Linked DNA regions of Rhinolophus ferrumequinum. The protein of the gene in region 2 interacts with the protein of the main gene of each other region in a biochemical or structural test. Links are inferred from orthologs where the notes say so. Each region holds a gene or a part of one and is shown on either strand. Other genes may lie near its edges.

Region 1 (11,784 bases), on a different chromosome or scaffold from region 2:
TATCAGATAAAGTAGACCTCAGAGCAAAGAAAATTACTAGAGACAAAGAAGGACATTACATAAAGACAAAAGGATCAATCCATCAGGAAGACATAATCCAAAATATTTACACACAATAGTCTCAACCTACTTGAAGCAAAAATTGAGCTAAAGGAAAAATAGACAAACCCACAATTGTACAGTTGACTCTTGAACAATAAGGGTTTGAAATGCCCAGGTCCACTTATATGCAGATTTCTTTCCCCATGGATACTGTAAATGTATTTTCTCTCCTATACGAATTTCTTAACATTTTCTTTTCTCTACCTTACTTTAAAAATATAGCATGTAACACACAAAGTATGTGTTACTCACAGTTTATGTTATTGGTATGGCTTCCAGTCAACAGTAGACTATTAGTGGGTAAGTTTTGGGGAGTCAAAGGTTATGCGTATTTTTGACTGTGCAGAGGGTCAGCACCCCTAACTGCCTGTTATTCAAGGGTCCGCTGTAATTGGAGGCTTCTACACCTCACTGCTCAGACTGTGCAACAGAACCACTAAATCAGGAAGGATACAGAGGAACACGACACCACTGCCAAACAACAGGATCCATTTCCCCAAATATCAGAACATTGTTTTCACGTGTCCATAGAACATTTACCACCACAGGCCCACAGAATATATACCAAGATATACCATTTCTGGGCCAGAAAACAAACCTCAACAAATTTAAAAGAATTGAAATCATACAAAGTATGCTCTCTTACAATAATGGAATCATAGATATCAATAACAGAAAGATAATAGGAAAATCTCTAAACACTTAGAAACTACAACACACTTCTAAATAATCCATGGGGCAAAGAAGACATTTCAAAAGAAACAAAAATGCATGTGAAACTAAATAAAAATGAAAATACAACATATCAGAATATGTGGACACAGCTAAAGCAGTGCTAAGGAGGAAACTTAGAGCACTTTAAATGCTTACGTTGGAATAATAAATAAATAATAAGTAAATAATCTAAGTCTCTATTTCAGGAAACTAGGAAAAAAGAGCAAAATAAATCCAAAGGAAGTAGAAGGAAGGAAATAATAAAGAGAAAAAAAATGCAACTGAAAACAGAAAAACCATAAAGAAAAATCAGTGAAACAAAAAGCTGGTTCTTCAGGGGGGAAAGAAAAGAACTCTAATAAACCTCAAGGAAGACTGATAAAAATAAAAAGAAGACACAAATCACCAATATCAGGAAAGAAACAGAAGATATGACTACTCTCACCACTCTAATTCAACATAATACTGCTGCAGTGAGGCAAGAAAAAGAAATAAAAGGCATACTTATTTGGAAAGAAAAAAATAAAGCTGTCCCTATTTGCAGATAACATGATGATGTATGTAGAACATTCCAAAGAACGTACAGGAAAGCCTGAGAATCAATAAGTATATTTAGCAAGGTCACAGGACACAAGATAGAGACACAAATATCAATCACATTGTTGTATATTAACAATGAGCATTTGGAAACTGAAAATAAAAGCACAATATTATTTAAAATTGCTCCAAAGAAAACAAAATACTTTAATATGAATATCACAAAGCACATACAGGATCTATATGCTGATAATCACAAAATGATGAGCAAAAAAAATCAAAGATGACCTAAATAAACAAAGGCATACCATATTCATGGATTGGGAGACACCACAGGAGACATGTCAATTCTCCCCAAACTGATCTACAGGTTTAATCCAAGCAAAGTTTTTTATAGACATAGACAAACGTATTCTAAAATTTAGTGGAAAGGCAAAGGCCCTAGAATAGATAAGCAATCTTGAAAAACAAAAAAATGGGAGAAATCATCATCTGATATTAAGGCCTACTATGTGGCTACAGTAATCAATCAACAAACAGTGTACTGGCAGGAGAGACATACAGATTGGTGGAATGGAATAGAGAACCCAGAAATAGACTCCCACTGATTTTTGACAAAAGTGCAAAAGCAATTCAGTGGAAGAAAGTCTTCAACAGATGTTGCTGGGACAAATGGATATCCACAGGCAAAAAAAAACAAAAAAACAAAAAAAATCCTTGACCTTATACAAAAATTAACTCGAATGGATCACGGATTTAAATTTAAACTGTAAAACTTTTAGGAAAAAAAATAGGAGAAAAATCTTTGGGATCTAGAGCTAGCCAAAGAGTTCTTAGACTTGTCATCGACAGTATAATCCATAAAGGAAAAAAATTGATAAACTGTACATCAAAATTAAAAACTTTGCCCTGTGAAAGACAAACAGATGAAAAGAAAAGGTACAGAACTACATAGTGGAAGAAAATATCTGCAAACCATATATTTGACAAAGGACTAGTATCTATGATATATAAAGAATTCTTAAAATTCAACAACAAAAAACGAGCAACCTAATCAGAGAACAGGTAAAAAAATGAAGAGCCATTTCACCAAAGAGGATGTACAGATGGCAAATAAGCACATGAAAAGATGTTCAACACCATTAGCCATGAGGGAAATGTAAATTAAAATGGCAATAAGATAGCACTTACACACCTATCAGAATGGTTGAAAGAAAACAGTGACTACACCAAATGCTGGCCAGAATGTGGGGAAACTGGATAACTCCTACACTGCTGGTGAGAATGGAAAATGGTGTAACCACTTTGGAAACAGTTTGGCAGCTTCTTATAAAACTAAACACACAACTACCATACAACTGAGCAATTTTACCCCAGATACATGAATATTTATGTACAAACAAAAATGTTCATAGAAGATTTATTCATAATAGGCAGAAACTGGAAAAAAACCCAGATATCCTCCAACCTGTAAATGGTGAAATGGTGCACTGTGGTAAATCCACTTACACTCTTGAAATGATAAAATTACAGAGCTGGAGAATAGACGGGTCATTGCCAGGGTGAGAGAGGAGGAGAGGGGAGGGAGTGGCTATAAAAGGAAGCAGGAGGCGTCCTTATGGTGATGGGAATGTTCTGTATCTTTTGCCATGTAAATATCCTGGCTATAACATTGTACAACAGTTTTGCAAAATACTACTATGGAGGGTAACTGGGTAGAAGGGACATAGGATCTCTGTATTACTTCTTACAAGTGCATAGAACTGTACAATTAGCTCAACACTAAATCCTTGTTTAAACACAAGCATTATTCTGAACAGTATCATTCAAATGTCCACTATTAAAACCACCACAAAGCAATTTATTAGGAAGTCTCTTCCCAAAGTGATCTGTCCAAACAAAGATGGGGGAGGGTAATTTTTGATTTTAGATTGAAAGCTAAATCTAACTGGTTATTGACATAGTCACAACAAATAAAGTGAGCTTAATATGGAACTACAATTTAATAAAAAAGGCGGGAGGGAAAATAGGATACTGTTTAACAAATGGTTTCTGTTGATAAGGAAGTCAGTAAAAGCTAATGTTTGTAGGCATCCGGAAAAGGTTAAGACTGAGTTTTCTGAAACACACTTATACACTGATTTAGATTTAAGATTCTATGTTTCTAAATATTTTTAGATTTAGTTCCTGAATTTTAAGAAACTAGGAGACAATCAGCCAAATCTTTATGCTCTTATACATGCCCGGTTTGGAGGTCCAGAAAGGCAGCAAAAATAAAACCCGGCTCAGCGACAGAGCAAGACAACCAAATGCACTTTGCCCCAGATGATGAGGGGAATTTTAAACACAGTCTTTCCCCTGCATCACCCCGGGCACCCAGCCTTTAAAGATGAAGTACTGGACCGGAGCTCTGACTCAGAGAGACTTTTGGAAGAGGTGAAAAGAAAAACGGTGTTTTATCATCGTTCAAATTATTCTCTTCCTGTCATGATCCTTAAAAGAGCTATTTCTATTATAATGAAATATTTTAACAACAGATACATAACGTGGGAATACTGGTATGAGGCTGCCGACGCTGTCCTGGAAAAGGAAGGCTGCAAGTCTGGAGCCCAGAGTCCCAGCATCCAGGTCCCAGGGAGGCGCCTCTTCATCTCCAAGGCAGGAAGCTTCCTCGTGGGTGAAGTGAAAGAAAAATGTGCCAGATGGGTTCTACCGCCTTTGCTAAATTTAAAGTCCCTCAGGCACTATAAAATCTAGTCTCCAGGCAGCTTTCTGGTATGACAAGCTTCCCTCTTACCCCTGCTTTGAGACAATTTCCTCATACCTGTAATTTGGTTTCCCCAAAATTGGCCTGGGAAAGTTAGGTGAGGGGGCAAGGAAAGGGTGATGAGAAACAAAAAAAGAAAAATGGAAATGACCGTGTCTAGGCGCAGCAGAAACACTACTTTCCCATCATTCGTTTTCTCCAGATTCCCTTTTTTCAGGGACCTTTACCAGAGGCTCACAGTAGAGAAATCAGAACCCAGACTTTCTGTCAACTCTACAGGTTTCTTTCACAAATAAATTGCAAAGAATAAAAACCGAGCAAGAGACAGAAGGAGAACCTGGAGGTTATACAGCACTTAAGAGATATAGATTTAATTTGTACCTTGATACAAACAAAACAATTATGCGCAATAAAGGAAATCAGAACACTGGCTGGATATCTGATATTAAGGAATTATACTGTCAGGTTTGACATCGGTACTGCGGTTATGTGTTTTGAAAGAGGCCTCATCTTTGTGCAAATGTTTTCTAATGTAATTATACCCTGTCCGCGATTTGCTTCAAAATCACAGGGGCAGGAGTATGGGTGAAACCAGACTGGCACTGAGTCGATCACTGTTGAAGTTGCGGGGCGGCGCGGGGACGTCCAGTTCGCTGTACTCTTCTACTTTGTACATGTTTGAGATTTTCCTGAGGAGCAGTTAAAAGGGGGAGACTTGGGGCCAGTTTCCTCTCGTTTACACTGCTCCTCTGAACCTACTGGGAGGGCAGGGCAAGCGGGATGGAAACGGGAACGCGCAGATGCCGTTCTGCAGGGGCGCGACCTCGTCAGGGAGTCCAGGAGGGGCCCTCCCCACTTCCGACACCCCCTTCCCGTCCCTCCAAATCCCCTGAAGTTGGCCAGCCTTTCCACTTCCACGGTCCCCAAGTGCCCTAGAAGGGCAGAAGCGAAGCCATCAAGCCGACAGGGACACAGGGTGCGCAACCTTGGCCAGCTCCCCAAAGCTGGGGGCACCTGGACGGCCGGCGCTGCTCCCAGCCCGGGGGCCAGACAAAGGGCTGGGCCGTCGTCCCGGCCCGGGCGCGGTGGTCCGCCGGGCCGCATCTGCGCAAACCTGGGCGCCACTTGCGCGCACCTGGGCGCAGGTGTGCGGGCGGGGACGCGGGGACACACGCACCTTGAGGATGTTGTCGAAGATGGTGTCGCGGAACTCGAGCAGCGCCTTCTGGTCGAACTCGCGACCGTGGATGATGCGCATCTGCTTGAGGAAGGTGGACTTGCCGCTCTCGCCCGCGCCCAACAGTAGGATCTTGACGAGGCGCCGCACGGCGCGCCGCTCGCGAGCCAGCCCGGCGTCGATGTCCCGGCTGCGCCGTCGCGCCTCACGCTCCGCGTCGCGGGCCCCGCCGCCGCCCGCTCTGCGCTCGCGGGCCCCGCCGGCCTCGGCCGGCAGCAGGCAGCGGCTGAGGGTCCGCACGACGCCGGACATGGCCGCTCAGGCCATGGATCCCGCCGCGGGCGAGGCGAGCCCCGCGCCGCAGCCGGCCGCTCCCTCAGGCCGCGTCCGCCGCCGCCGCCCCGAGGCCCGCTCTCGCCCGCCGCTTGGCCCCGGCGGAGGGGCGGGGCGGCGCTACTCGGGGCCCGAGGATTGGGCAGGCTGCCGCCCAGACGGACGAACGCGCCTTCCGATTGGGCCATGTCACGCCGAGAGGCGGGCATCCCTCCGGCCCTCGGGGCGGGATCGGCGCCGAAAGAGGCGGGATCTTTGGGGTGGGGGCGCTTCCCATTGGACACCCAGGCCGAGGTCCTTTCTTTCAGAATGAAAGGGAGGCGGGGTCATCGGAAAGGCGGAGCGGACGCCCGCTTTGACCAATTGTAATTGCTCTGAGGTCACGTCAATCACGGCGAATGGGCTTGGGATTGGGGAGTTTTGCGAAACGGGGCGGGACCAGAAGTGCCAGGTGTACAGAAAGAGTTCCCCTGGGTTTTCAGGTTAGCTCAACCTGTGAGACCAGGTTTGCAGAATGCTCTCCGCGTTGCCCCAAAGCTAGGGTATGCCGATAAGAGGTCCAACTGCTCGTCTTATGTTTACAGAGAAAGCTGTTCTTAAACTATTATTCTTCCAGAAACACCGGGGGATGTGGGGGGAGGGGAATGGGCCATACATTTCGGACAAATGCACCCTTTGAGAGCGGCATAGGCCTCTAGGAGACTTTTCTCAAAGCTGGCTAATCAGCAGAATCACCAGCAGCCCCCAGAAAAAGCTTTTTGTAGCACAGTGATCGAGAGTGTGGTTTGGAGTTGCCGAGTCTGAGAGTTGGAATCTGCACTCGACCCCTTACTAGTTGACTAGTTGAATGACCTTTTAGGCAGCTCCCCCTTTGTCCCCACACCGGATTTTAGCTTCATTTTCCTCTTCTGTAAAATGGGGCGGTAATAGCTACTATCTCATACGGCTGTGAAGCTATAAACTGAAAACATGAACTGGTAAAACCCTTCACGTGGTGTCTAAGTTCCTGCTAAGTGTTGGCTGATCTCATTACAGAGTCTTAGTGTTGAGTCAGAAGCTGCTGGAAGAAACTCAGGTATCTCTTAATCTACAGGTGATTGGCCAGATGTGGGAACTATGGTCTGTTAAAAGAGAAACTGAGGCATATTAAGAATTTTAAGAGCTTGAGGAAAAATCGATTCCAGCTGGGCATGGCCAAAGGACAAGAGCCAGGGGAAAGACTGACATAGCGAAAGTGCGGAAGCAAAGAAAGGACAGTATTTGATTGGCTACAGCTTAAAAACTAGTCGGCTGTTTGTGACTGGTTGTCCTTAGCATTTTGATTTTGTCACCTGGAGGCATTTACAGGCTTAGAGTCTGGTTTTCTTACACAGGGCACCACGGCGTTAGAACCACCTCAGTCTAGTCAGTGGCCACCTTGTTGAATTATAACAGGTCTTAAAGATCATCCTGTCCCAAACCTCGTCACCATGTACAGCTGTGTAAAGAGTATCCTACAAACAAATGACTCCCACACAAGGGCTGACTAGAGCCTACTCTCTCTCACACTATCCCTTTGCCCCAACTGCTGAGGGATATATGCACTAGAAAAAATTAGTGCATGTATTTCACTCAGTTCTACAAATAATTTTTGCATCATCATGAACACACCAGGCACTGAAGACTTCTGGAGAAGAATCGGAAGACAGAAAAGATACAGCCTTTGCATCAAGAAACTCACACATTAGTTAGGGAACCAGACCGCTCAAGTAGCTGGGCAGAGTGCAGACTCTTGGATCCCTAGTTTCTGCCAGAGAACTGTGGTACTCAGTGTTTTAACTGAGAGATCTAAACTCCCTGAGGACCTTCTGAGACCATGGCATGTGGCATCCGTCAATTACTGAGGCATGAATTTGTGTCCCTTATGAGTCAACACATCACCTAGTCCTTTGTCATCCTTCAAAATGATGAAAAAGAAAGTCTTGTTTCTTTATGAAAATGGACTTCCAAAAAAGCCAAACACTAGCTTTATGATCAAAGTGAAGAGAAAGTCAAGAGGCCTCAGAAAGCAATGTTTCTTAGACAGAAAATAGGAATTTTGAACAAATAAAGAGGGGGATGTGGAATTCAGCAGTGGATCAGTTAGCCCTTTGTGCAATTAAAAAAAATTAAGTAAAGGTGTTTCACAAAATACTTTAAGCAGAAGTAAAAAGAACCAAATAATACATCTAAAATGAAAAATATAATAATTGAAACAGAAACTTAATAGATATGTTAAGTTGCAGATTAAGACACAGATGAAGAGAATAAACTGGAATATCTGAAAAAAAATTGCCCTGAATCCAACACAGACAAAAATACGGAGGATAAGTGACAGGAAAGACAGAGGAAGAATATCTAACATATTTAACCAGAGTTCTAGAAGGGATTCCAGAGAATGAGGAAGAGGCAATATTTGAAGTGATAATGGCTGAGAATTTTAAATTGACACATGGCACAAAATGCTTAGCTTGATAAATATAAAGAAATACAGACAAAGATTACCATAGTGAAATTGAAGGGCATCAAAGATAAAGAGAAGATCTCAAAAGCAGTCAGAGAGAAAATAGTGATAGCTATTATTTATATAATAGTCACTAGATGCCAGGCCCACGCTAAGCACGTTGCCTCTATTAACTCATGTAATCTTCAGAGGAAACACACAAACTCAGAGCTGATATCTCAACAACAAAAGTGGGAACCACATGGGAAATGGTATCTTATGCGCATTAAGAGAAAATAACTATTAATCAATAATTGTAAACTCTGTAAAAATATCTTTCAAGAAAATGAGGACATTTCAAACAGAAGATTATTTTATACATCGTGTGTTATGGGCTGAATTGTGTCTCCTTCCCGAAATCCCTATGTTGAAACCCTAACCTCAGCACCTCAGAATGTCACTATATTTGGAGACAGGGCTTTAAAGAGGTAATTAAGATACAGTGAAGTCATAAGGAGGGCGTTGATCCAATATGACTGGTAAGAAAAGGAAATTTAGAGACACACGTGGGCAGAAAGTCCACCACGTGATGACACAGGGAGAGGGCAGTCACTCCCAAACTTAGGAGACGGGCTGCCGAAGAAACTAACAGTGCCGACACCTCGCTCTTGGACTCCCAGGTTCCAGAATTGTGAGAAGATAAATCTCTGTTACTAAGTCACCCAGACGGTGGTACTGGGTTATGTCTTAGCAATCTAAGGCTCATCTTGTCAGCCTTAGTAATCTAACACAAGGTGCTTCATGAAGAAGGAAAAATAGTCTCAAAATTAAGGTCTGCGATACAAAAAAGATCGGTAGACACTTTGTGAACATATAGGTAACTTTTATCTTTGACTCCATTAAACAGCAATAATAATTTTAACTTGTGGAGTTGAGGAAAAAATAAAACTAAAATACCGGACACTAATGGCGTAGATGTAGGGAGGAGGCAATCATAATGAAAGTGTTCTAAGATCTTTCAATGGTTTGAGAGAATATTTTGATTAATGTTAAACTTTGTAGACTTAAATATTCATATTAAAATGTGTGGGTAAACACAGAAAGAAGAGAAACAGAGTGCATGAATTCCACACTAGCAGAGGGGGAAATGGAATGAGGAAACAAAAATCAATCAATACAAAAGAATGCAAAAAATGAAGAAAAAACAAAAATAAAAACAGGGCAAAGAGCAAAATGAGAAGGTGGAAATAAATTCAAAGATGTGATTCATCAAATTAAATGTAAATAGACTAAAATAATTAAAAATCAAAGACTATCAGATTGGATAAAATAAAAATAAGGTCCAGCTACATGCTTATAAAGGACCCAGAAAAGATCAAAGTTAAAGAATGGAGAAAGGTTTACCAGCAGATAGCAACCAAAAGAAGTCTGGCATATCTATACGAATAGGAGACAAAAGAGATTTTAAGTCTGAAGCATGACTAATGGTAAAGAGAGCCCTTTCGTATAACAGAAACTTTAATTCACTAGTAGGACCTAACAATTCCATACTTGCATGCAGCTAATAATATAGCCTCCAATATTTACAGCAAAAAAAATCGACAAAACCTCAAGGAGAAACTAAAGAATCTACCATCATTGCTGGGGTGAGGGTTAAATATACTTATTCTACAGCAACAATTAACAAGTGTGACGTAATAAATATATGTTGATAGTGAACCCAATAATTAGAGAATACACACTCTGTTCAACTACAATGAACATTTTCAAAAATCGACCACATACTTGACCATAAAGCAAGTTCCAACACATTTTAAACGATTGGTATCATACAGACTACATTCTCTGACCATGTTGCAATTAAATTTGATATCATTAACATAAATATATCTTCTGAAAAGTCTAAAGTTATAGAAATTAAAAATATACCTTCTATGTAAACAGCCCAGCTTGCTAAACTTGTTTGTTACTGCATCCTAGTAAGAAGATTCTGGGGTTGTTTGTTACTGTCCCATAACCTAATTTATCCTTACGATACGACCTCCATGTGGTAATGTGTTCTCTAACAGTTAAAAGCAGGGGCTCTGGGGCCCATCCGTCTGCATTCGAATCCTGGCTCTTCCTCCGCTGGTTGTGTGATCTTGGGCAAATTACTTCATTTTGCTGTGCCTCCCTCTTCCTCATCTGTGAAGCGGGAACAGTAATGGTAGCACTACAGTAGTAAACCAGGTTGAAATCACTGAAGATTAAATGAGATGACATAGGTAAAATCCTAAGCAGAATGGCACAGAGTAAGGCCTCAATCAATGTTAATCATTATCACCATTATTGTCTTCATAGTACATTGAAGCTGCTATTCGGCAATGTAGTCTCTCGCCCCAAATCATACACTGAAGAAGCGGCCAAACCAGAATTTGAATCCCAGTATCTGGACCTCACTCGGCAGCCTGTGCTGTCTGCATAGCATCCTGGGTCTCCCCCTGCGCAGCCCCTTTGCATGACTAAGAACAGGGTCACCACCCTCCTCCTGCTGCCTCCCCACCGGCCCACCCATCTGAAGAGTCTGTAACCCAGTCACCGTCAGGGCAAAGGCTGCTCCTGCCCCAAGGCCGTGGCTCCAGCTAGTCCCTCAGCCCAGAAAAGGGCCTGCCCTCAATTATCTCCCAGGCTTTCACCCACTAGAGCTAAGTTCAAATACTTTCTCAGGAAGTCTTTTCTTACCCCAAACTTCCCCACCATACCCCACCAAACTAGGCCCAGTTCCCATAATCTTCTCTCAAATTAATTGTAAATAGTGCCCCATCCTTTTCGTTCTTAGCATGCATCACACTTAAAATTATTTGTGTAATTACATGATGATTGTCTGTCTTCCCAACTATGTCTATGAGGCAGGGTCTGTGTCTATTTAAGTAAGGCTGGAGCCCCTGTGCCTGCACACAGTAGGGACTCAATCATTTGTTTGGTAGATGGGTGGAAGGAAGAAAGGAAGGAAAGAAGGAAGGAGGGAGGGAGGGAGGGAGAAGGGAGGGAGGAAGGAAGGAAGGAGGAGTAAATGGATGGATGGATGGATGAGTGGATGGCAGGCTAGTCCCCAGGGGCCTTGAGAGCACTGCAGAGGGCTCTCTCTTTAGGATGAGCTTTGTCACTTCCCTTGGAAGTGGACAAGGGGATTCTCCGGGGTGCTGCCAGCCATGGTTTGGAGGAGACAGTTGTCTTGCCAGTTAACTATCTCATCCAAAGTCAGCACATTTTTAAGGAAGAGTCAATCGTGAGACCCAGGCATCATGTGCAGAAGCACTTCCCTAGTTGAACCTAGGTTCTACTTATTTGTCCCCCATGCCTCAGAAGGGGATCATTATGAGGACTAACCGTCAGCAATTTTGAGAACCACGTCAGCAGGCGACTTCCTTTCTCGGCACGGATCAAGGTTAAACATCACAGGTTGGTGTGTGTTATCATTTTATCCTGGTAACAACACACGGAGTCTTTCCATAACCTTGCCTGTGAGGAGTGGAGAGGATCTGGGATGTCTCTGGGAGATGCTCAAGAAGCAGCGATCCAGGTTGTCAGGGACGTACAACGCACAGTGAAGCAGAGGGACCCAATTTCTTTAAACTTAGTTTAGCTTCACAAAATGCTCCTAAACCCAAGATGTATTTCTGGCTCCCACTTGAAGATTGTTTGGCAGATCTC
Region 2 (10,960 bases):
ACACGGTGCCAAACGAGCCCGTCCCGATCCTCTTCAGCAGCTGCACCTCACTGGGTGGTACCTCCCAGTAATAGCCCGAGTCCCGGTACCCCAGATTCTTCTGTGGGCCATATGGGCGGCATCTCAGGGGCCTGCCCACTCCCCGTATCACTCAGCCTGTGGTGCCCCCCACAGGTTCTCCCTGGAGCTTACCACTTTCTTCTTGTCATCAGCCATGGACTTCCGCTCCCGCTGTTCTGACGGGGACTTGGAATGTGGGGACTTCCTACCCGAGGACACGCTGGCCGGGCTGGGGCTCCCCCGGGGGGCTCCATCACCACCACCTCTACTGCCAGCAGCTGTGATTGTGGAGAGAATGTCAGTGGACGCAGGTGCAGTGGGGAGGGGGCGCTCAGGATGCAGGCAGTGGGGGCTCACCATCAGTGTTGAAACTCTGGGTACTGAGCTGGAAGAAGAGGGACAGAGTCAGATAGAGGACGCTGAGGCCAACAGGAAAGGTTCTCTCCTCTGCCCAGTGGTCCCGACACTGCCCCCCTCGACACCAACCTGGATGAGGCTAGAGTCCATCGGGGCTGTGGTGCTGACCATATGGACGTTGGGGGTGGACGTGGAGCGGATGCGCTGGAGGGGGGCATTAGCCGGGGTAGAGAAGGGGAAGTGCTCAGCGTCACGGTGCTGGGTGTAGGAGCTGCCAGGGGAAAGGCTGTGGAATCACTGTCAAACGAACAGAAGCAGCCACGCCACCCTCGCCCCGTCCTAAACATGTGTTTAGCTCACAGAGTAAATATCCCGTCATTACTATTATTCATTTGTTCTAGAAACATTTATTGAGTGCCTGCCATGTGACAGATACCATGCTAGGTAGTGGAAATAAAACTGGGGGCAAAACAAATAAAGGTTCTTGCCCTCATGTGGCTGAGTTCCAGAAGGGAGAGAGAGAAATTAAAAAAACAAAATATTTAATCTGTCTGATCGATTCGATAAGGAAAAAATAAATCAAAATGAGGAGACAGAAAGTGTCACTATGATGTCAGGAAAGGCTTCTTTCTCTAAGGAGGTGACATTTGAGCAAAGACCTAAAGAAGGGACAGTGAGCCACACAGTGGGGGAAAGAGTAATATATATCATACTTTATAACAATATGTACTATTCAAATATATTATGTACTATATAATGTATAACATATGCTCTATATTAAAATGGCAATGTTTCAAAATATACATATTATAATGTTATATATGTTATACATACGTGTTCTACATATACATAATGTTACAAAAAGCGTTTTTATTTTAAGGAGGGCCCAGCTCACAGTGGCCCAGGAAGGGATCGAACAGGCCACCGTGGTGTTATTAGCACCACGCTCCAACTGAGCTAACCGGCCACCCACAAAAACATTTCTTAATGTTCCCTTCCACTATTCTCAAATTCATACTTACTTAATTCAATTACACCCCCAATTAAATATAACATAATGCCCTAACTTTACTATTTTATATATTATATAAAAATATATGATGCTCTACATTATATAAAAATATTATAAATATAACACATGATACATTAACATAATATACCGTACAAGTATAAACATTATAAAATACATAATATAGACATAGAAAACACATGTTTTATAAACTTACGATATATTAGAGCAATAATCTTTTTTAACATAGAAATACTATATAGTCTTATAATACTTAACATAAAGAAGAAATAAAAGGGAATTTATGATAAAATATATATATTTCAAAATGGGAAGGCCTGAGCATGATTATACTGGAAGAATTAATAAAGTAGTTAGATGCTTTGATATACATAAACATACATACATATATATTTATAATTAATAAGGAGAACCTTTATACTCTGTATTAGATCTTGTTCTAAGCATCTGATATGTCTTAACTCACTTAAGCCTCACCAGAACCCTATGTGGCAAAAAGTAACATTATCCCCTCTTTACAGATGAGAAAACTGAGGGCCAGAGAGATTAGGTGACTTGCCCAAGGTCCCACAGCTCCATGCCCTTACTCATACTTGTAGGTGTTCAACAAATGTTTGTCAAGTAAATGAATGAATAAAGAATGGCTTGTGGTCTACAGGGGCCTCCAGATCTTTCTCTCCCAGCAGCAGCTCTTCAGCTAAGGCATCCCTACCTGGGACCCTGGGGGGTTAGCGGCTCATTCAGGGGGCGGTTCAAGAGAGTCTCATGCTGTCTGGAGCCTCCGGACAAATCCTGGACACTGTGGTAGAACCTTGAGGACATTAAGGGTATAGAGCAGGGGACAAGGGTGAGCTCTCTGTAAGAACCTTGTGGCTGGGCATCTGTCCTCCCCATCCCCCCATCCACCCCAGGCCAGGCTCACTGTCGGCGGTTGGTACTCATGTCTACACAGACTGTGGGGACCTTGGAGGAACAATGCTGGTGGAACTTGTAGCCACAGGTTTGGCAGCGGAAGCCATGGAAGAGAAACTTAAGGCAGAAGTCACAAAACGCCAGGCTGAAGAACGTCTTCCGTACCTGCTACCACAAAGCAGGGAAGGGTGAGGCCTGGTCAAGGACCCTCCCCCCACGCCCAGGGTCTGCACCCACTATCCCCCCTGCACTCACAAAATTGTGCATGGTCAGTGGGACATCTTCAAGGACCTCCACAATGAGCTCCTCGCCATCCAGGGGGGCAATGGCAGTGTCCCAGGAAGTGACTGTCTTTCGCCTGCAGGAGGTATGAAAGGAGTGAGTGGGAGGGTGGACAGGGCCTCGGGGAGGCAGGGAACCCCTAAAGGTACCTCCAAGTCTGCATCCACGGAGCAATATCTACCATGTTTCATTCCCATCACGGCAACCCTAGGAACTAGTTATTATCCTTACCCCCATTTTACAGATAAGGAAGCTAAGGCTCAGAAGGATAAAGTGACTTGCCCAAAGCCACAAGGGACTATGAGTAGCAGGACAGTGTGAAGAGGCCATGCTCTTAACCACAAGGTGAGAAGCAAATGAGATGGTGACTAAACAACTAAATCTCAGAAGTGCTAAGGAAGCCCCAGAAAAAACAGCCGATGAGGCATTAAAACAACAAATACATAGCAATGTGTGAATTGAATAAAAAAATTAAGGAACCTCAGAACAGAAGAATAAATGGAAGGCCCAACTCAGCAGACAGATAATGGGAAAATGGAGGTAGGACAGAGCCAACAAATTGATGAAAAAGTGAAAGAACAAAAGAGATGAACTCTGGAAGGAGGTGATGGAGCAGGGTGAAGACTTGGGGGTCAAAGAGAGAGTGAGATGTTGACCTGACAGGCCAATGAACTAACGAAGTAACGAAACAAAAGCTGGATGGACTCACAAATTCACTGAACTAAGTAAGGCAAGACTAACGGAGACTCCACAACAGAGTGAAGGAGTCGGATGACGCTGAGGAGGAGTTGGGAGGCTGGGCACCCAGTGGGCAGAGGACGAGGTGTATGCCACACTTACCCCTTGATGAGCCGGTAGACCACGCAGCAATCCTGATTGAGACCCCGCACCTTCAGGGCCTTGTCTAAAGAGTCGTAGACACTCATGCCATCCCGGACAGTCACCTGTGCAGATGTGGGGGATCAGTGCCCAACAGGGGCCCCAACTAACTCTCCCACCCCTCGGCCAAAGCCTCCTCCCAGCCCTAGTTACCCTTTTGACCCAAGATTTACAACTGGGTCCATCCACACCCCTACCAGGTTTGCTCCCTTCAGACTCACTACTGTGCGTTGCTTGTTGGGCAGGTACACTTTGACAGTGCCCACTGCCCGGGACGGCTCGGCCCCGTTGGCAGGGGGGCCCCGTGGTGGCTCCATGGAGCCTAGGACTTTGTCAAGATGGGCTGAGGCGGGGCTGGGCAGGTGCCATGGGGCTCCTAGAAGACAGAGGAGGAATTCAGAGGTCCAGTAATGATAGTCTGGAAGCACAGTGGCAGGAAACAAAAAGAATTTCAACCTCCAGGCTCCACGTCACGCCCAGTAGCCTAATTTCCACACAGCAGCCCAAGGGAGCCTGTTAACACTTTGAAGCCGATCCAGTTCCTCCTCTGCTCAGCCCAGCCAAGATCTCGGATTCACTGCATGGGGCCAGGTGGGGGTGGGACGACACAACGAGAGACAGCACACACTGTCCTGGAGGGAACAGGAGTACAAAAGTCTGTGCTGGGGGCTAATGGGGAAGTCAGCACACGGTGCACTGGGGTGTGTCAGGTACATAATGGACACGAACAGTGTCCCGGCTTTTTAATGGAGAAGGGGGTTACCAGATACTATGCTGAGGGAGGAGTCACAGACAGAGTGAAGGGGAATGAATGGAAGATCATCAGCTATTGCCCTTCGTTTGGGGAAAATGGGAATTGCACCAAAGAGTGTTCTTAAGGGTACTGTGGGCATCCCTACCTAAGCCCTGGCCTGCCATGACGGCAGGCTCACAAACACTGTTAGGTGGCTAATGGGAGTCACCAGACTGTGACGGGAGATCACAAGGCTCAGCAGACATTATGCTGAAGGAAGATGTAATAGAGGTCACTAGAGACTGTAATGGGGAGAAGAATGGATAAGGTGGTCACCGGACACTGTCATGGGGAAAAGGAGGGTAATGGTGAATCATTAGTCATTGTTGAGGTGAGATGAATAGAGGTAAAGCAGGGAGGCTCCAAAATTCTCGCTGACAACTAAGGGGTGACAGACATATTTCTGGTGATAATGGAAGGAGGCTGGTGAGGGTTAAGGAGGAGTAAGGGGGTAATCCTCAAACATTCTCCTAGTGGGTCAGACACTGATCCAGAAGAAGCAAGCGAGTAGTGAGCCGCGTCCCCATGCATTCCCCACTGTTGGTAAAGAAGGGTCATCAGATACCTTAAGAAGGTTTACAGGGGATCTGGGAACAACACACCACAGCCCAGGCCCAATTCAGCCCTGCCCCGCCTACTGAGTGCCTTCCAACTCTGCGCAGGCGTGCTACCACACGCGACGGGCGAAACCATCCCCCCGCAGCCTTGCACCCCTATTCCTGTCTACCCACCACTACCCCCCGCTGTCCGATGGTCTCGCCCCGGGTCAAACCACTCCTCCGGTTCCGGGCAGGGGGCGCCGGGGCCCAGGCGCAGCCACCCTGGAGCTAAGCTTTCGGTCCCGGCTCCTTGCCCATGCCCGGCGGTCGCTCCAGAAACCTAACCCTGCGGGGCCCGCCCTCACCTGTCAAGCTGCAACGGCCGCAGCCGCCTCCATCTTGGGCCTGTCTTCTTGTTTCCTCATAGAGTCCGCCTCCACCGCCCCTCGGACTTTCGCCATTGGCTCCACAGGACTCAGCCCTCTATCCTTATTGGATTAGGGTCACGCCTATCAAGGCAGGATAGGCGGAATGTGGGTCTTGTTCCGGATTAGGAGGGGCTGCTTGAAACGTCTGGGTCTGGGGCAAATTCGCACGTCCTGAGTCGCGCAGGCGCAGTCAAGAGACCTGCGTGCCAGGGGCTTTAACCCAATCGTACCGTGGCAGAATAAAGTGGGGCTTTTTTTCGGTCAGTTGGGTCTGACTTTAGGGCTTCCTGAATCTGGGCGGAGAATCCTTAAATGCCCCTTTTTGTTCCAGTGACCCGGAGGCCTAAGTAGCCGTTTGGGAGTTTCCTGGGTCTCCGTTTTACCGTCTTTGAAATGGGTTGGAATCAGACCAAATATCAGCAACGTTTTCCAATTCTGAAAAACTGAAGTCCTAGCCTTAGATAACAGCGGGTCTCTAGTGTGGCCGGCCTGGGGGTCTGGAACTAGGAAGAGTGGCCTGCTGTTCTGAGAGCTGTCCTTTAGGAATGGGGTTGATAAGGATTTTGTAAGGCTAGTCATAGATGGCCAGGTGAAGAGGGGAGGGAAGTGTGGACCTGGAATGGGGCACAAGTGCAGGGAAATGTATGGAGGAATTGAGGGGTAATTACAATTTTTTAGAAGATGACTTTTACCTGGTGTCAAAAGTGAAAGAGACTTTCCACCCTCCCTTTTCTTAGAGCATTTCCTTTAGAAAACTTGTAAATTTTTTTGTCCCCTCGAGATGTATGTAAATCTTTTTACAAGCTAAATAGGCTTCCTGCCAGTTTTACAACCCAAGGATGTTGTTCTTAGGGGCCTTGGAGTCATCTCTTTGAAATGCAAACATCAACAAAGATAGCGCCCCTTCTCCGTCAGGTAGGAATTTGACCTAGGCGTCTGGCGCCAAGTTGTTAGCTGCTTGTCAAAGAGATAGGTGTTTTATTTTTTTTCTTTGGATAAAGACAGATGGCTACCCCAGTTACCAGGTGAATTTGAGATGAACTGTGTAGCAAAAGGTACTGTCAAGTTCTCTTACTTAAGGACAAGTTATTGCCTTTCTTGAGAACAAGTATGTAATGGCTTGTATCTCCCCAGCCATTTAAAGGATGAGGTTTTACTGTCCTTGCAATCTCTTTAGCGAATTGCTTGTGATGCACATTGCAGTCTGGTTTAACACTTTTTGATAATACAGTGCTACCTCGGTTTTCTAATGTAATCCGTTCTGGAAGACCCTTCGAGTTCTGAAACGTTCGTAAAGAGCCGACAGCGAGGTGTCGGGATCCTGCACTCAGAGGAAGCCGCGTGACATGTTTGATGTGTTCGAAAACCGAAGCATTTACTTCCGGGTTTATGGCATTTGTAAATCGAAATGTTCGTCAACAGAGACGTTTGAAAACCGAGGTACTACTGTATAACTATTTAATTCTTTTCTACCTCTGTGGGGAGGATTCACCGGTTGGCACGAGATTTCACTTTTAATTTTTTGAACAGCCTGTTGTTTGAAGTGACTACATTCTCCTGTTTGGAGCCTCAGCATCCCTCTGATGAAGTGGGAAGGATCAGAGAAAGGTCATTAGGTGAGGGGGCCTCAACATACTTCAACTTGTATTTATTAAGTGCTTTCTCTGCCTATAAGGAGAGAGACAAAAGTTCTGCTTACTAGGCTGTCATATAACCTCTATTTCCCATCGTTTCTTTTCTATTAGGATCTTCACCATTCAATGGCTAAAATGAAAAAGACGGAATAAATACCGCATATTTATGAGAATGTGGAGCAATAGGAACTTTCATGCATTGCCATTGGGAGTGTAGAATGGTACAACCACTTTGGAAACAGTTTGGCATCTTCATGTAAAGTTAGACATATACATACCATGCAATCTAGCAGTCTCATTTCTCAGTATTTACTCCAGAGAAATGAAAACATGTCCAATGGCGTGCTCATAACTGTTTAACAACCAGCTGTCCAGGAAAAAAGCTCTAATTTGTAGTGTTTGCCAACTAAGACATAAACACTCCCACCATGGCTTATTTCAAGCTACTAATATGACACCATTGAACCAGAGTTGAGATTTGCAAAATTGGCTCTGGTGAGCCAGCCACAGCATGCTACTGCAATGTACCCACACAAAAATTTATACTCCAATATTCATATTAGCTTTATTCATAATAGCAAAAAAAAAAACTGCAAACAGACCAGGTGTCCAGCAACAAAAGAATTGACCAAGAAACACAAAAATGGGATCCTGGAATACTACTGTTAACCTAAAATTAGAAGGCCAAAGTGAGAGGCAATGAGCATTTATTTGAGATCCAAAGAAGAGCTATTTGGAAAGCACTGATTCAGGCAGAAACCCAAATAGTGTTCCCATTAGGAGGCAAGGCAAGAAGTATTTATGAGAAAGCGATGGGGAACAATTACATCAATAGAAGGAAGGCATTTCTGTAAGTGAGAATAAGCTAACAGTGATGCTAGTGCTAAAGAATGTTTTGAACTTTTCAGTCCATTAGTCATATTATCTGCTTTCTTGTTATCTTTGCAAACAGTTTTTTGGGGATTCCATGCTGCTTTAGGTCCAGTCCAAAGGTTATTTTGCCCAGTTTATGCATCCCATAGGTTTGAGGCGGAAGATGTGCAAGGCAGTTCCTCTGGGATAGCAGCTCTGACTCCATTTTAAAGTGGCTCCATTTATATTACTTTTCACACTACTCAGCAATGAAAGGCAACAAACTACTTCATGTGTCTATCTTACAGACATAAGATCGAGTGAAAGAAGCCAGACACAAAAGATAAATACTGTATTATTCCATCTGTATGAACATCTAAGCCAGGCAAAATTAATCTATAGTGAAGGAAAGCAGAGTAGTTGTCTTGTGGGAGAATGACTGAGAAGGGCATGAAGGAACTTTTGGAGGTGACTGGACAGTTCAGTATTCATTTATCAAAATTCATCAAACTCTATACTGAAAATGGGTACACTTTATTGTATGTAAAATATACCTCAATTTAAAAGAGCATGGCAAAAAAGGGGGCTTCAAACATAATTTTAAACATGTTGAATTCTTACAAATTCTTAGTGATTAGAGTTGTTTTTTTTTTAATTCTCTTTTCTGATTCGAAGCCCTAGAGCCGGCATCCCCATCTCCCAGTGGTGCAGCCCTGGCACCACATGGGGTCAGAAACAACTCCTGTTGGAGCTCAGTGAGGGGCTCCAAAACGCTCTCCAAAAGGAAGAATAATGTCAGGGGTGGGGAGTGCATTTTAAATTTCATTTCATTTGAATATTATTTAATTTATTTTAGAACTTTAATTTCTAGGCAGTATTTGAAGACAGACTTCTGGCTCCGTTGCACAACATTTACAAAAAGGTAAGCAAAATTCGACATGCTGTGCCAGAAAGGAGGGATGGAGGATGGAAGAGGGTCATGGCTCACTCAAGGACAAAGCTTTCTCCCTTAGGGACTCACTCCAAACCCATCCCAACTGGCACGACTTCAGCCAAGTACTTCACAGGTACTTAACAAGTCATGAAGGCCTTTAAAGTGACTTGGGTTTTTATCATCATCATCATCATCACATTAAAAACCATCAAGCGCACCATATATTAAAACAAAAATTAAAACCTGAACTAGCTGATTGTTTTTTCTGACATTCCCCTCGAAATTATCCACCTAGAAATTTTAAAAGATTTTAAAATGGTTGTTGGTTTTTATAATTGTTGATTTTCAATTCTTTGAAATATGTCTGAAAAACATACAAAATCTGAAGTGTTCACCAACCACTGTTGTAACCCTACCCATTTCACAGTTGATCCAATTGAGGTTCAGGCTGCCCTAACCGGAAGGACAGAGGAGAGAGAACTCCAGCATTTCAAGTTTGGTAAAAAGTGTTTGAACAAGGGTGTAGGCCAGGGGCACGCCCCTCTGTAAGGAATCTTGGCTCCGCCCCAGCAGTCCAGCGTGCCTGAGGCTCTCTAAACCAGCCACTCCCATTTCCCAACTTCACCACCCTCGCTCTCCCTGCCGCCGCCTGCAGAACGCCACGTCCGACAGCCCATCGCACAGCCTCCCGCTCCGCTAGCTACCCGTGTCGGGAGAGATGACCACGCACAGACCGAGACAAAACTGAGTGCCTCACTGGCCCAACTGAGAAGCCTCAACTATCCGCTCCGCTAGGCCCCCGCTGCGGTTTGGAGTGAGACATTCAGTGTTCCAGGCCCCGGACAGGCAGCGAGGTCACCCAATAGCGATGCAGTGGAGGGCGGGCTTTGGGATGCCACGGGCATTGATAGGCTCTACTTCACCCTAGCATTTAGAACGAGAAGAGACTGGACTTTGAGACTCCGAGGAGCCACTGGCAGACCAATAGCTACGCAGAGGACGTGGGCTCTGGGCCGTCCCAGCCAATGGGAGTAATTGTCCATCTAAAGCAGAGTATGGAAGTTTCCACTTTTGAATATTCCTTGAAGAGATTTTTAATACACAATCCTGGGGTCAAAATGTGGGAAATTTACAAGTGAACCTAAACATTCCTTTTAACAGTCCTTATTAAAAAGTCTTTCCTAACAAAATGCATTGAGCAGTAATTTGAATTTGTGATCACTGCGATCCAAATTGGTGCAAGTCACACTATTAAACCACAGACAGGGTTCTTTTGTTTTCGATTAATTTTTTAACAGTTCATTATACGATATATATGGTATTCCCATGTGTTCATAAAATTAAACAAGTGTGCAGGTTTGTATATTTTCAATTTCCAAACCCAAGGATCAAATGAATAGAAAAAATAATCGTCAGTTACCTCTCAATAAAGGTGGGGAGGGGAAGAAAAACTAATAATTAAACCAAATAACAGTCCTGTAATTTTTTTTATTAAAGATTTACTCTGATGAGGAAATTCTTTGGTGAGTATGATTATTTCTTATAAATAAAACAAGGCTCAAGTATGAAAATATTTAATAGTCAAGCAAAAGGATCAATATAAACCTACAAACTGAGCAGTGACACCCCCTTTGAGATGCAATGGACAGTGGCAAACACCACTGGTCCTCCCAGGTAGCTCTTTTGGTAGGGATAATAATCTGATATGGTCCTTGGTAATTTTTTAAGTTTTTAATTAATTAAACTGACAGCATTTACCCAAAGGAAGTGATTCTGAAATGTCTACTTTCGGTTTTCATCAGAAATGCATTTGGTACAAATTTTCTCAGAGTTAACATATTTATTCCAAGCACATATAGACTGATCCACAGTCCCATCAAAGGTGAAAAACAAAAGTTTAATATCTGTTGGCTTACCTCACACATATTTGGTAAATCTCTATTCAATTTATAAAACCACTGTAAATGAGATGTCAGACAAATGTACTCCAAGTAAATTTTCATTATTTCTGGATAAATGACCCACATGTGATCTTTATATCATTCTTGACACAATGCACATGTTATATATAATCCTTTGTATATATAAAATAATTCCTTATATATAAAATAATTCCTTATAGTTTTTTTTCACTTTATATATGTTTATTTGTATTTTTAAAAAGCATAATGGGCCCCTCCTCTGTGCCAGGCACTGCCAAGACATTAAAAAAAGACATGGTCTCTACCCCTAGGGGTTCCTGATCTAATGAGGACTTCAG

The links.
Region 1: the proteins of ARAF (region 2) and GNA12 form a complex in vitro, tested with the Homo sapiens proteins (2 studies listed by BioGRID). The link is inferred for Rhinolophus ferrumequinum from reciprocal best matches to the Homo sapiens genes ARAF and GNA12.

The regions. Positions count from the first base shown.
Region 1 is NC_046307.1:43,055,009-43,066,792, reverse strand, and holds the start of GNA12 (guanine nucleotide-binding protein subunit alpha-12), read right to left. Parts: upstream 5,673-11,784; 5' UTR 5,610-5,672; coding exon 5,298-5,609; intron 1-5,297. UniProt on the Homo sapiens protein: Guanine nucleotide-binding proteins (G proteins) are involved as modulators or transducers in various transmembrane signaling systems. Activates effector molecule RhoA by binding and activating RhoGEFs (ARHGEF12/LARG).
Region 2 is NC_046284.1:86,425,306-86,436,265, forward strand, and holds the start of ARAF (serine/threonine-protein kinase A-Raf), read right to left. Parts: upstream 5,310-10,960; 5' UTR 5,218-5,309; intron 3,897-5,217; 5' UTR 3,838-3,896; coding exon 3,742-3,837; intron 3,586-3,741; coding exon 3,482-3,585; intron 2,718-3,481; coding exon 2,615-2,717; intron 2,525-2,614; coding exon 2,370-2,524; intron 2,259-2,369; coding exon 2,160-2,258; intron 689-2,159; coding exon 547-688; intron 446-546; coding exon 418-445; intron 339-417; coding exon 193-338; intron 101-192; coding exon 1-100. UniProt on the Homo sapiens protein: Involved in the transduction of mitogenic signals from the cell membrane to the nucleus. May also regulate the TOR signaling cascade. Phosphorylates PFKFB2.